Linked DNA regions of Lonchura striata. The protein of the gene in region 1 purifies or fractionates together with the protein of each later gene. This does not show direct contact. Links are inferred from orthologs where the notes say so. Each region holds a gene or a part of one and is shown in the gene's direction. Other genes may lie near its edges. The genes, in order: ASB9 and CUL5.

Region 1 (8,150 bases):
TCTCATGCAATGTTTGTCCTGCTCCTTGGGAAATCTTGGTGCTTCTCCACATCTGCAATGAATAAGAGCACAGATCCAGGTGCTACTGATGTAGCCAGAATGCAACTGAGATGTGTCTGAAGCTTTCTTCAAGGTTTTTTTGTTTCAATTTAGAGTCTCTCTTGCTAAGTCAATTGGCCATCCTGCAGAAGGGAACATTTACTTGCAGAAGTCTGTCTGGTCCCCAGCCAGGCTGACGGGATGTTTGCAAAGGGAAGTTTCTGTGAGGGTGAGAGGAAGGAAAATGAAACATTTCATGTTAGAAAAACTGTAAAAGAAGGAAAGCCTCTGGAGGAGAGACTTGATTTGAGGCAAGGAAATTAGGGATACAAGAATCAGACTGTATGATTAATTTCTCCAAGGGCGAACTTCTCCACTTTGTGTCAGCTCAAGAATTTCGCAGCAGCTTTCCAAAGAAAACCCAGGTACCTCTGGAAATGACACCAGTGCTTTAGTACTCCTGTGGGCAAGCTCTGGCAGATTTAACTGCTGTGATTTAAAACATGGCTGTCCCAGATGTGTGCCTTGCTTGCTGACTGGAAATTGCTGCCTTAGAGGAGGATCTGGCATGTGCTAGTGTCTCAGAGCTCAAGTTTACAGTCTGTAGAAGAAAACAGCTTTTACAGGTTTTTGAGCTGACACGATGGCCCAGTACTGAGACAGCTGTGGCATCACTTTGTGGCCAGTGCTGCCATCCCTGGTACTGGGTAATCTCTGCTGAGAGTTGGGAGCAATAGCTTGGATCAATGCAGATAAATCTGTCAGAATTGTCTGTCAAAACCCTGCTCTGAGATACAGGCACTCCAAAGTTGAGGCTCTGTGGTTCAGGCACTGGGCAATGCTGGCTTTTGTCTGGGCTGAAGATGCTTCACCCTGAGCTGCAGCACCCAGAGGCTGTGCAGGACAAGGCACATGGCAGCACTCAGGGGTGTCAGAGCTGGGACCCCTGGCTGTCAGTTCACCCATATTTCAAAGCGGGTTTCAGCTGTTTACACATACACATCTAATTCCACCTAATTCTCTGCTCATGGTTTAGGGATCCCTTTTACAGTTGGTGAAGACTGACTCTAATATTCAATATGTGCTCCCCCAGAGCAAGCATCTAAAGTAGGTGAGACAAAGCATGGTTTGAAAGTGCCTATGTTTCTTCATTAATGCTAAGGAAAAGCTAGGATTTCTCACCCTGATTCTGAAGTTAAATTGAACTTCAGTTGGACTAAATTTAAGTTAATTGAAGTTAAATTATGTTTTGTGTCCAATTTTCCAAACATTTCCTGTAATTCTGTGATTTGCATCCTCAGAAACCAAGGGTCAATTTTCATACCAAGACAGATTTACCAGTAGTGTATTTTCGTTTTTGAAGCAATATTTGTGCTAATAGTAATAAAATTGGTATAAAAGTTATCTGGACAAGTTAAAAAATTGATTAACAACTGGAAATAAAAAAGAACCAAGACAGTAGAACAGTCCATTGAATTACAAAAAATGTAGATTTTTTTTTGAAGGAGGAAAAAGAAAATATTCCTTTTATAAGACATGATGTAAATAGAAAAAAGTAATATTAACTGTTGTTGATTCCACTTTATTGTGCACTTCTATGCACCAAGGATGGCTGCACTTGAATAAGGATAAAGTAATTTCTGTACTAGGCCTGTTTATGTAGAACTTAGGGATGTATTTGCTACTTAAATGGAAAATAATATTGTAATGCTTAAAAGCTCTGGTGTGTCTCTGTGTTGTGTAAGCTGTTTCTAATCTGTATTTGAAGTTCTGTGTTGTTTATCTTGAGATCCAGGTTGATGTTAAAATGTTCCCTTTTTACTGGAGAATTTTTTGCTTGCTTACATAAAAGATCAGCAACAAAAGAGATTAAATTAATCAAAGCCTTCTTGCATATTCCAGCTCTCAGCAAGGCTGAGAACAACCTATAGGAATCCCCTGGTTTTGGGATGTGTTATTTGGGGAGTTTAATTTAGTTTGATGATTCCATTCACATCAAAATGATGCTTAAGAAGTAGAGTGGCTATAGATGGTTAAATAATATTAAGGTGATCACCAGGCCAAAGCCACACACTGCCTCTGTAGGTATGCCTGAATTGCTAGCTGAAGCAAGAGCTCAGGAGATAATTTATGTCTGTCAAACTCAGGATCTGTGTGTTTTCTAGTTACTCTCTGCTGTAATCTGGCTGCATGTCAGCATAAGGGCATCTGAAATGTAGCTCAGAGGAGCACAGCTGTCACAACAGACTGGATTGGGCTGGAAGGGACCTTAAAGTTCATCTAGTCCCAGGCCCCTGCCATGAGCAGGGCTGCCACTCTAGATCAGGTTGCTCAGAGTACCATCTAATCTGGCCTTGAATGCTTCCAGGGATGAGGCATTCACAGCCTCCCAGGGCAACATTTCCAGCACCTCACAAGTCTGTGAGCAAAGAATTTCTTCCTAGCATCTAATATAAATCTAAATTTTCAATCTAAATCCATTGACATTTGGTCTGGAATGATCTGCTCATGTAAGAAGTCTCTCTCCCTCCTTTTTATAAGCACCCTAAGGTACTGGAAGACTACAGCAAGGCCTCTCTAAAGCCTCCTCTTCTCCAGGCTGATCAAGTCCAGCTCTCTCAGCCTGTCTTCATGGGAGAGGTGCTTCAGCTCTCTGAGCATCTTTGTGCTCCTCCTTTGCACCTGCTCTAACAAATCCATGTTTTTATGGTGCTGGACCCCACAGTAGGATGCAGGACTCCTGGTAGGGTCTCATGAGGGCAAAGTAGAGGGGGAGAATCCCCTTCCCTGGACCTGCTGGCTGGGCTGCTTTGGATGCAGCCCAGGGTGCCTTGGGCCTCCTGGGCTGCAAGCGCACACTGTGGGCTCATGTCCAGCTTTTCATCCACAGGAACCCCCAGGTCCTTCTCTGCAGGGCTGCCCTCAGTGACTTCTCCTCCCTTGTCTTCTGTGCTCATGTCTGGGATCACCCTGACTCAGGTGCAGCACCTTGCACTTGGATTTGTTGAACCTCAGGAGGTGCTCATGGGCCCACTCCTCAAGCTTGTCCAGGTCCCCAGCGGTTGCATCCTGTCCTTAAGGAATATCAACTGCACCATTCAAATTCATTCAAATCTGCAAACTTCCTGAGGCACCAGGTCTCACTGGTCATTACTGCATTTACCTTCTTGGTCATCAGAGAAGATAACACAGCTCTGAGCTTGCACATTTGGTTTCATACACGGATTCCTTTTGGTGGTGGAATTGTTGAAATGGTTGTTAATACTAGATCTGCCAGCAATATGATCAATCATGAAAAGGGGCAACCTAACCTCTAAAATCAAGTAACACTAAAGAGAAAAAAATGGGTTTTTTTCATTCTTTTTACATGTTAATCCTCAGAAACAATACCTACATACACCACGTTCTCTGTTTACACATTTTTCCCACACCAGTTTGGCTAAGACACAAATGTAATTTTCAGGGAGATCAAAGCTTGTATCCAGCATGGGAGGCCATGCTGCATTCAGCAAGAAGTGCCATGGAAAGGGCTGGCCCTGTCCTCATCTGTGCCCAGGCTGCTGTCACAGATTCCCTGTTGGCAAAGTGTGTGGATGATGTTCAGCTGCTGTTTGCATCTTTTAATATAAATTATTATTTTTAAAGATATGGACAAAGAAACCCTAAATATTATTCCAGATTTCTTGCATACATTACAGAAAGAAATAAAATTAAAACCAAGTTTCTTAGGCTCAGCTAAGTTAGGATCAGAATCAAAATACTATAAGCAACTTCAAATCCTCAAATACACAAACACAAATTTTGCTCTAGTAGCCATACAGGACAAAAAAAAAAAAAAAAGAAAAAAAAGAAAAACATTACATGGTTTAGAATTTGCATGGAAATTCTACTTGAACATAAGTAGAAGCCTACTTCCACTTGAACACAAATGCGCAAATATTCAGTGACAGAAAAAGGATTTTGTGCTTGTAAATTATACTGTACTGGGAAGGAAAATATTTTAAATAGAGATGACCTGTGAGAACAGAACTTTTGCAAAACAGACACTCTGCCTGCCCTGTTCTCTGCCTGTCCTGTTCTCTGCCTGTCCTGTTCTCTGCCTGTCCTGGCTCTGCCTGTCCCGGCTCTGCCTGTCCTGTTCTCTGCCTGTCCCAGCTCTCCCTGCCCTGTTCTCTGCCTGTCCAGTTCTCTGCCTGTCCTGTTCTCTGCCTGTCCCAGCTCTCCCTGCCCTGTTCTCTGCCTGTCCAGTTCTCTGCCTGTCCTGTTCTCTGCCTGTCCCGGCTCTGCCTGTCCTGTTCTCTGCCTGTCCCAGCTCTCCCTGTCCTGTTCTCTCCCTGTCCTGTTCTCTGCCTGTCCTGTTCTCTGCCTGTCCCGGCTCTGCCTGTCCCGGCTCTGCCTGTCCTGTTCTCTGCCTGTCCTGGCTCTGCCTGTCCTGTTCTCTGCCTGTCCCGGCTCTGCCTGTCCCGGCTCTGCCTGTCCTGTTCTCTGCCTGTCCTGGCTCTGCCTGTCCTGTTCTCTGCCTGTCCTGGCTCTGCCTGTCCCGGCTCTGCCTGTCCTGTTCTCTCCCTGTCCCGGCTCTGCCTGTCCTGTTCTCTCCCTGTCCTGTTCTCTGCCTGTCCTGTTCTCTGCCTGTCCCGGCTCTGCCTGCCCCGGCTCTGCCTGTCCTGTTCTCTCCCTGTCCTGTTCTCTGCCTGTCCCGGCTCTCCCTGTCCCGGCTCTCCCTGCCCTGTTCTCTCCCTGCCCTATTCTCTGCCTGCCCTGGCTCTGCCGGCTCTCCCTGCCCTGTTCTCTCCCTGCCCTATTCTCTGCCTGCCCTAGCTCTGCCGGCTCTCTCTGCGCATCCCCTGAAGGCAGAGTTTGTTCAACTAGTCGAACTGGCTCTTTCTGTCTTGTTTTTTTTTGGCAAACTAAGAATTTCCTTCCTGATAAAAAAGAGCGGCGGGCGCCCCGATTGGGCGTCTCGTTGGAGAGGATGTGACATCAGGCACATCTCTGGCTTGGCTGGGTCTCTGGCTGCCGAGCAGGGCAGCCCGGGAGCAGCTTTGTCAAATCGCAGCCCCGGCGCTCGGCTCTGCGCGCTCCGAGCTGCCGCCGGCGCTGCTCGGCTCATGCGTGCGGGGTCCGCTCCGGAGAGCGCTCCGGCCGCTGCGGGCTCGCCGGGGAACATGGAATTTGAACTCTGGAAACCAGCCACAGAGTGAAAAGACAGCGGCTGGGCAGGCAGGGCTGAGATGGATGATGAGAGAACGAATCAAAATGCCAGCAAACTGCAAGGAGCTGGAGGCCGGGCATCTGCAGCGACTCCGTGGAGCCCGCTGATGAGGGGTGAGTGACGCTCCTGCCCGGCACAAGCCTCAGCCCTGCCGGAGGGCAGCGGGGGCTGCGGTGCTGCTGCTCCCCGGGTCCTGCTTCAGGACAGCTCCTCACCCGGTCCCACAAAACACCCCCACGACTTCGTGGAAAAAAAAGCTATTTCTGTTTGATACTGAAATTTTGGTTGTTTCTTTTTCGTGTCATAGAAGAGAGTGGTTGGTTTTGTACTGCAGTTTGTGCAAGCAGAAATAAATGTAGCAGCACTTGGACTGCAGCACACTGAGAAATAAGTTGAAATGTGGCGTGTTTGACTTAAATTAGTGCCAGCAGGAAGCTCAGCAGTAGCTCAATTCCTTCTTTTTCTTTCTTTTTCTTTTTCTTTTTCTTTTTCTTTTTCTTTTTCTTTTTCTTTTTCTTTTTCTTTTTCTTTTTCTTTTTCTTTTTCTTTTTCTTTTTTCTTTTTTTTTTCTTTTTCTTTCTTTTATTTTTTCTTTTTATTTTTCTTTCTTTTTTCTTTCTTTTTTTCTTTCTTTTTTCATTCCCTTCCTCCTTACTTTCCTTCTTTTTCTCCTTCCTTTTAATTATTTTAATTTTTTTTTTTCATTTTTATCTTTCTTCTTCTTTATCCTTTTTTTCTTTATCTTTTATCCTTTCCCCTTGTCTTTCAGATGAACAGACCTAAGTGTTGTTTAGGCTGAGCCTACTGGGCTCTTCTTCAGTGGCATTGCTGTGACCAGTGCTGTTGTGGGCACATAATAGTGAGCAGTTACTCAGACAAATGGCCTCACTCTGGTCATTGCTCTGTGTCTGGCCCAGAGCCATTGAAAATATGACATGGTAAAAAAAAGACAAGTAATTAAACTTTGTATCCTGAGCTGGATGTGTTCGCTGTAGCTCTGTTTCTGTTAAGTTACTCCTTCCTCTAATGGCGAGTGCAGATGGAATGAGGTAAATTCAGAAAATGTGACTATGCTATCCTTGCTCTTTTTCTGGGCTGTTCAGGATGCTTCCATTAACACTAAGTTGAAAATTAAGACCATAAAGCCAAAATGCAGGGCTGACCAGTCTATCTGCAGTGTAGTCTGCCTGCCCCCGTGTGTGCCATGTATGTACAGCCTGAGGCTGGGCTGAGCAGGAAGGCACAGTGATACCATTAACTGTGTGAAATAGAACCAGTCCACACTGGAGATGAGCTCCAGCAAAATGGAGGGTGGAAGGACGGAATCCCACATGGCACAATGCTGCACACAGATCATTTGGTCCTTTGAAAATCAAAGTTTAGTCCATTCCTTTTGTGTCTGCCTGTTCCTTAGCAGAGTCAATAAGCTCTGCTCGCAATTTCCAGCAGGAATGTGTTTAGCTCAAGCTATGTAGATCACAAACTTTAAGGGACAGCCTTTGAGTATGGAAAATACAATTTGTAATACTGTTCTATATAATGCCATAGGATTTTGTATCTGAAAATATGAATGCAAGAGCACACCTTCACTAGGAGGACTTAAGAGCCCCTTTCAAGTTGTGCTGTATGTGAGAGGCATGGGAAGAAACCAGCCTGGGGACAGGCACAGGCACCATGTGCAATGCCCTCACATGGTCAGAGGCTGCAAAAAGTTGCTTCAGCCATCACAACAAAAACCAGTGCTCTAGAAAGGTCCTGTGAGAGCTCTGTTGTGCACAGGGAGCAGTCAGATTTTGCATGTGTACATGGTTATTGCTATAAGACTCCCTCTGTATACACCACCCTGCCAGTGTCACATGCCTGAGTGATGGCAGTGCTCAAATATGACCAGGGGTTTAATGTAACCTCTGGGCTGGCTGGAGTTTTCTGCAGTGGAAGGGGAGGTGACCCAAAGCCACTGAAAGCCAGTGGGATTTAGATGTCTAGCTAAACTACTGGGGTCTGACTCAGACTCCCTGTGGACTAAGGTGTGGGTAAATTTCAAATTTGGACAAATTATCTTGTTTCTTTGTGAAAGAGCAGCTGTACTATTTTTGACAATCAGGAATCCTTGTTTTGGTGGTGGTACATACAATGAACCACTGCATCCCCCACACACACTGGCCTTGCTAGTCCATATGCAGAGTGCTCTGGGCACATTCATGAAAATCACTAGTTCGGGATTTTGAAAGCCCATAATCAACTAGAATTGACATTTGCTTAGGCCTTAATCAAATACAATACACATCTTTTATATTCTGATAGTGTGCCTCCTGTGAAGTGTAAAAGAGGGCAGTGAGACATGGAAATTACTGCAGCCTTTCTCCTCTTCCAGGCAAGGACCTTGAGTTCCAGCCTGGAGCAGGCAGAAAAAAGAAATATGGTTATTTGTGAGAAGGTGATGCCTGGGGTTAAGAAACTGAAGAAATTTGCCATCTTTTCCAAGGGCCTCCATTCCAATGCCTTCCTGGCACTGCTTCAGGTTAGAAGTGCTTGCTGCAGATGGAGGTAGGGCAGGAGAAACATCAGCCTGAGGCTGTGCAGTTCATGGCAGCAGATCTGGAATTATGTCATCCCAATTAGTCATCAGTCAGGCCTTTAATCCTGCTCCTCCCAAGGTGTCCAAGGCTGGTGTGACAGACTCCCTAGGGCTCCATAGGGCTCCACTTCCACCTAGGATAAAACTCTAGGTTTCTCTCAGTTACGGAACTCCCAGATAGATTACGTGTCAGCACATATCTCTTTTATTTTTTACTGACATTTATTTTTAATGCCTATATGGTCAATCTTTTAATTCATTGTTAAAACTTGGAAACTTGCAAGCCAATGTCCAGTCTACAGATGGCTGGTCTGGCTCTTT
Region 2 (7,073 bases), about 56 Mb from region 1:
TGCTTTAAGTGAAAGCAACAATAGTCTTTACTGTCGCATGCAGGCAATTTCTGCAGAATGCCATTGTTATTAACAGAAAAGGTGATGTGAAGCCCAGATAGAAAACACCAGAAGTGTTTGCTTACCTGTTGAAATGGAAACAAACACAGAAGTCTGGTCACTGACAGTGCTTCTTTTTTCAGCTATAGGTAGATATCTGAGTGTTCTTGCCCTTTTAAAAGGATTGTCTTTAGTCACTCACAGTACGTTTTGTGCATGGGTTCGTTGTGACAATCCACAGCAGTGATAAACAAGAATTTCCAATTGAAAGAAAAACTAAGTCTTAGTATCCCTACTGAATATAACTAGATTGATGGGAGAAGAGTTTAAAATGGACTAATCAACCATCACATTTTTCCCTTCATGAACTAAGATTAGAAGAAACTATTTTCATCTTACTGGTTTCAGGTCATTAGAACAGATCATAGAAATACATATTCCTCTCTGATGCAACTCATTCAAAGCTTGGAATCACTGTACTCCAAAATATATAGAATATTATGATGATATGAGTTTCACTCATCATCCAAATCTTAATGAGCTGTTCCTTGCAAATCACTTTGAAGCAGTGCATGTCTGGGATTGTGATTCCCTCTGCCTTTTACAATCCATGCAAAGGATTAAAACTGTAGACCAGTGTAGTACCAATCAGTAATTAATATCTTCATTAACAGCAGAATTGAATAATAATCCATCTGTAATAGAATTAAAGTAAATAAAACAATATTGTGTAACACTGAGCACTGCAGAAACACCCTGAAGTGGTACTAACATCCTACAAATCCTTAAGATTCACAGATGTCTTTGCTTCCCAGAAAATTCGTGTACAGATCTTCAGGGGGAAAAAACCCAAACAATTACAGTCATTGTATAAACCATGTAAAATGAGATACTCACTATTTTCAATATCAGTAAAAAGTACCAGCATTTCCTTGTCTCTCTGCTTCTCAGATGTTCAAGTTCTCTTTATTCCTTGGCTAACCTATTTATAAGTATTTCACAAGAGCATATTGGGGCAGGATGCACAAACTCTCATACCCAGAACAGTCACTGCTGACCCATCCAGGCTAGCAGCGTGTTACACGATATCTGTCAGGTGCCTAAGGGGACTTAGACCAGACCATGAAAAGTACACTGGTGCTATTGAATTCTGTGTACTCACACATTTTTGCGCCAACACTTGGTAAGTTTGGATGCAATAAAGAAACAGTTGGAATAAAACAATTAAAATTAAATAGAATTATTAGAAATAAGCAATCACAATAGAATATGATGATCTCATTTTGAATAACTGTATCCAACAAAACAATGGAATTGACAAAACTGATTTGTTTTTTTAATATAACAATTGAATAACACGATTAATGAATTGAAATAAACAGATCAGAATAAAACTATTGAAATAAAACAATTGGAATATTTTTAATTTAACAATTGAATAAAAAATTAATCTAAATAAATCAGAATAAAACTATTGAAATAAAACAATTAGAATAAAATAATTGAAATAGCAACTTTTAACCTAGTTCAGATTTAAATGAGAATAATTGAAAATCAGATAATTGAAATAGAATGAAATAATTAGTAGAATTGAAACAGAATAACTGAAATAGAATAATTTAAATCACACCTGTCAAATTTAAATAATTAAATTGAATTATTGGAATTAAATAATTAAACAAATTTTGTTAAGTAGAACAATTGAATAAAATAATTAAATAATTAAATTGAATTATTGGAATTAAATAATTAAATTGGACAAATTTAGTCTAGTAAAACAATTCTAAAACAATTGATAAACAATTAAAATGTAGAATTAAATTTTAAAATGTAGAATTTTAAATGTAGAATTAAATTTTAAAAATTTAAATTAAAATGTAGAATTAAAATTGATAAAACAATTAAAATGTAGAATCAAAATAAAACTAAACTATTAGAATACCATATGAATCTAACAGAAACAACTAAATAAAACAATCTGAATAGATTACAATAAAAAGATCAAACAAAATTTAACTATTAATGATCCAAAATGCCAAATTGGAATTCTCGCAATTGAAATAAATACAATGAACAAAAAAAATTAAATAATCCAATAAAACAAACAATCTTTAGAGACAAAAAACAATAAAAGAACTCACTATAACTGACAACAAGATTCCAATCACAACTAAGTCACACATATAAATAAATTGTATTTCTTATAATTTAATGATAAGGACCACAAACTTAAGCACAGCTAACAAGACGGCCACCAGGGCCCTCTGTCAGTCTTAGACCCCCCTTGGTCCACCTCCTTCTGTATCAATCAATGCCTGCCTGTTACGGCTCCCCCTCCCTTTCAGCCCAGTCACAAAATGGGTCCTCTGAGCCACCACTGATTCGCACTCAAAATGGCACCTCAGAGCTGTCAGCACCACTCACCCCAAAATTAAAATTAAACTTTTTACTTATTCCAAAAAAATAGTTAGTACCAACTAAATGAAAGTAGTCTTGAACTCAAACATAAAAATTAGCAGCTTATAAATTTTAATACCTCTGCTTTCAAACTAACAGTACAATATGCAGAAATTCTCTCTCTCTAACTAAATGCTTTTAAATTCACTTTCCCTGTCTGGTGAGTGGTCTGGGGACTCTTGGCCACCATCCATCCCAGAACCTCACTATACTGGTGCTCCCACCTTCCACACTCACACAATTAACTCGGCTGGAAACAGTTAAACAATAACCATTTGTATCCCAAATAATCAGTATCTAAAAAGCAATTATACCAACAAATTACATCCAGGTAGTCCTGGACTCGAAAGTAAAAACTACGTAACTGAAGTACCACGTAAAAGAAAAATAGAAATTATAAATTACCTGCCTATGGTAGGTAGGTTCTACTCTCCCTGACCCAGGCTAGGAGGAGATCCCAACCCCCGACTCCAGCTCCTAATGAGCTGAACGGCCTCTCCTAGCTGGCCACTCTCACTTTGAGTCACCAGGCCAGGAGGATCCCCTAACTCCCCTTTCATGGCTGAAACCAGATGCGTCCACCTGCCCAGTCCACCCCGTGCAGGACCAGGTGCGAACACCACCCCGTGCGCCCTGCCATGTGGAGAGTTAGGGTCCTGCCCATACCCCAAGCTGGGACTCCATTCTCCCTGCTACTTAAAAGGAGGACATTCCCTAACCGGTGGCTCCCTGTCATTGTTCCAACCTCCCTGCTCAATCAGGGCCATCCTAGAGCAGAGGATTGTGTCCAGACAGTTCTTGAATTCTCCAGTGAGAGAGACTCCACAACTGCTTTGGGCAATCTGTTCCAGTGCTCGGGCATCTTCACAGTAAAGAAGTTCCTCCTTATGTTCAGGTAGAACTTCCGTGCCCATCGTCTCTCCTTCCAGTTGCTGCGCACCACTGAGAAGAGCCTGGCCATTCTCCTGACACCCTTCCTGCAGATGCTTACACACTTAATAATTCTGTAAATAGAACATTCGTGACATCTGGCACGAAGCGTGGCGGCTTAGCTGGATGGGCGTAGGGCAGGGAATTGGCTTGTCGGCACACGGCTCAGTGCGGGTGGCCGTGCGGGTGTGCCCGCGGTGCTCCCCGATCCCTCCGCCAGGGCGTGCGGAGGTCTGCGCCGCAGCACCCGCAGGGACAGCACGGCGGGACGGCCGGGGCTAGTCAGTCAGTCAGTCAGTCAGTCAGTCAGTCAGTCAGTTAGTTAGTTAGTTAGTTAGTTAGTTAGTTAGTTAGTTAGTAGTCAAGTTGTTTCTGCGCTTGCGGGCCACAGCGCCCCGTCCCGCCGAACGCGGGGCCCCGTGCCGAGCCCCGCCCCGCGGCGCCGGGCGGCGCGGCGGCGGGCCGGCAGGGGGCGCTGCAGGCGGGCCGCGGCCGCGCGGGGCGGCGGGGCCGCTCCCAGCGCCGCATCATGTGGGCCCGGCCCCTTCCATGGAGCCGCGGCCGCCGAGCGCCGCCCGGGCGGACGCTGCCATGAGGCTCTGAGGGCGGCTGCGTGCCGAGCACCCGGCCGGTCCCAGCCGCTGCCGGGCTCCCTGAGCCTCGCCGCGGGACAAGGAAGCCTAACGCTGAGGCCGCCGCCGCTGCTGCCGCTGCCGCCGCGGGTCCGGCCGGGCGGGCGAGCGGCCCGGGGCCATGTAAAGCGGCAGCGGCCGGTGGGAGCCGAGCCGAGCTCGAGCAGAGAAACCGCCGTGGCCGGCCGGGAAGGCCCCGCAGTGGGGATCATGGCGACGTCTAATCTCCTAAAGGTGAGAGCGGAGCCCGGCCGAGTCCTGCGGGAGGAGGGGGGAGGCGGCGGGGCCGGGCGGCCCTGCGCTGGCCGGGCCGGGCAGGGCAGCGGGGCCGGGGGCAGGGCCTGGCGCGGGCCGCGGGTGCCGCTGGCCGGGGTTGCCGCTCCAGGGCCCGCCCGCAGGTGAGCGGCCTTGGGCTGCCGGCCCGGCCCGGCCCCGCCGGCAGCTGCTGCCTGCTGCCGGCCCGCGATCCCTGCCCCCGGCTCTCCCTTCCCAAACACGCCCCGTTGGGAAACACCGCTGCGTCGTGCGGATAGACAGGGCACCGTGTCTTCTCTTTGTTTATTTAAGAAAATCCGGGTGTACGGGAGATGAGTTTTAAGTTAAACAAAGAGTTGGAAAATGTCTTTGCCGAGGGCAGGTGCCGTTATTGGGGTGCCCACCGTGTTCCAGTTTTTTTGTTAACTGCAGTTTTCCTGCAAAGGAGAACTCCCGGAGGCCTTTCACTTACGTTAAGCAGCTTTGCTTTTGTAGTCATATGTTTTCAAGCACTTTCCTGGCGTTTGATGGCAGATGTCAGTCACCCCAGGCTCCTACAGGTTGGAACGGAAGATTTCAGTGGGACAGTCCAGTGTTAGAGTTCAGGACTGCCTGTCCTGATCTTTGTGGTATGTATGAGGAGAAGACTCTGTGTGGCCTTTGAGGCCATGCTAGCACAGGGAAGACGGGCCTACTTGAAACCACTGTTATTAGTGCCTACAGTAAGTGTTTCTAAACCACCAGTTAACTACAGTGCTAAGATAGGCCTAGGGCAGGCTGTCTGCTTGAGGGATTGACAATTGAAGATATATATAAATATAGGCATAAACATATGTTCATTACTGCATGTTATAGTTCAGTATGGTCCTGGAAAAGTGCTGCTTGCATTTTACTAACCTGACCTAATTTGGATGCATAGATTTAGCCTGAATCTGCTGGTTTTATTTATTACTCTGGGACATTCATTGTGAAGAAATGAGAACTAATTTATCCCTTTGTCTCTTCAGGATATTAAAAAAACTCTATATTAAAAAGAAATGTTTAAAAAAAATCTTCCTTGAAATTGAAATTATTTTGAATTCATTCCTGTATAGTTTTATGCCTGTAAGAAGTTGTTAGATATTTAAGCAGATAATACTTCAAAATACTTAAAAATCTAAAACTGAGGAACCTAAGAATACAGGCGAAAAAAATATCTCATAAGAAGAAATATTCTTTTTGTGGAAATGCATGTGTTCAGAGCAGGTCTCAGTTTTATCCACTTGTTAATGTTTTAGATCATCTCTTTTCTGTGCATTTGAGGATTTCTCAAAAGTCCAGCACATGCTCTGATGATACATGTGATGGGATAGCCCACAGCAGATAGGAGAAACATAAGCCGTAAGATTTGTCAGCATTCCACTTCAGCTATTTTGAAAGAGCAGTAAAGAGGCCTTGACTTGGTGCGATGTCCCTTGCCAAACTGAAGTCTTTTTGTTAACTGGTCATGATTTTGCCATTGGCCTTTGAGTCGTCAGTGTTTTATATTGACAATAAGATATATATGTGCAGTGTGTTTAAGGAAAAATGCCGCAGAGATGTCTTGTAAAATAGGCATTTCTGGTCACTCAAAGTGTTACTAAGCATTTAGTTTACTAATTAGTCAGTTTTTCAATGACAATAAAGTATGATTCCCACATTACAGAAGGAAAGATTATGCAGTGATTTGACTTGGTTTATAATGGCAAGATAAACTAGTGTGAGAATTAGAAATAGGTAAGGTGTTTTGTTCCCCAATTCCATTTGTCAGAGTGCTCTCTGAGAAGCAAACTGTTCATTCCAGGTCAGTGTTCCCTGGCAGTGCCTTGTGCCCTCTGAGTCTGTCCAACCTACTTCTGCTTTCATCTTTAAATGGGGAAAAAAACAATGTCTGGGCACAGTAAAAATCCCAGGATAAGGAAGGAGAGGTGTTAAAATCTGAAAGTTTTTTTCATATCTGTTTCAAATAAGCCTGCATAATCAAATCTATGTTGGGTATAGACAGGCCTTAGTTTTGCCAGCATGAGCAGGACCTGAGTATCTTCTTTTGTTTTCCCCCATCCAGCTTTCCGCATAGTTGAGACAATGAAGTGAAATATTCCTTTCTGATTCTATTAACAGATAGTAGCTGAATCGAAATCTGACTGGCCATCATAATTTTTGAGGGTGTCATTTAAACTCCACTAGTGCTTAATTTTCCTAATTGTAAATTCTTTTCTGAAAAGCATATTCTTGGAGAGCCTTCTTTAAATGCAAAATTAGAATGAGCAGTCGTGTTGAATCCTAGTGAGACAGAGCAAACTGTAATGTGATGGAAATGCTTAGTAAGAGCCATTACAGGGTCAGCTGGTGCCTGCCTTACCTGTAGCAGAGCTGCTCTCCCTCGCTGAGGCAGTGGCTTTCTGATAGGTGACCAAGCCATTTCCAGCGGAGTCCCTAGAGTTTTTTGTCTCAACACACATGTGACACTTCTAAAGTGGGATACTTCATTTCAGGGGCCCTGTAGGATTATAACTTGTTCTCTTTGCAGTGATGATACAGTCTAAACCAATTCACCCATGTGACATGAAGACATTTCAGTTTTTCTGAAGTTTGTTGAACAGAAGAGACGTTAGCTTATTGTAGCACAAAGAAAACCTATAGCTGTATCCATGCTGGCAGATCTTGCTATTGTAGGGCCTTACTGGAGCTGCCAGCAAATGCAGGAGTCTATCCTTGCAAGATGAACTGCACTATGAGCCT

What was found.
Region 2: the proteins of ASB9 (region 1) and CUL5 purify together in Homo sapiens (affinity purification with mass spectrometry; 6 studies listed by BioGRID and IntAct, counting the BioPlex papers as one, with this or other methods). This does not show direct contact. The link is inferred for Lonchura striata from reciprocal best matches to the Homo sapiens genes ASB9 and CUL5.

What each region holds. Positions count from the first base shown.
Region 1 is NC_134604.1:100,010,116-100,018,265, reverse strand, and holds the start of ASB9 (ankyrin repeat and SOCS box protein 9), read left to right. Parts: upstream 1-5,035; 5' UTR 5,036-5,270; coding exon 5,271-5,364; intron 5,365-8,150. UniProt on the Homo sapiens protein: Substrate-recognition component of a cullin-5-RING E3 ubiquitin-protein ligase complex (ECS complex, also named CRL5 complex), which mediates the ubiquitination and subsequent proteasomal degradation of target proteins.
Region 2 is NC_134604.1:44,394,303-44,401,375, forward strand, and holds the start of CUL5 (cullin-5), read left to right. Parts: upstream 1-4,021; 5' UTR 4,022-4,268; coding exon 4,269-4,292; intron 4,293-7,073. UniProt on the Homo sapiens protein: Core component of multiple cullin-5-RING E3 ubiquitin-protein ligase complexes (ECS complexes, also named CRL5 complexes), which mediate the ubiquitination and subsequent proteasomal degradation of target proteins.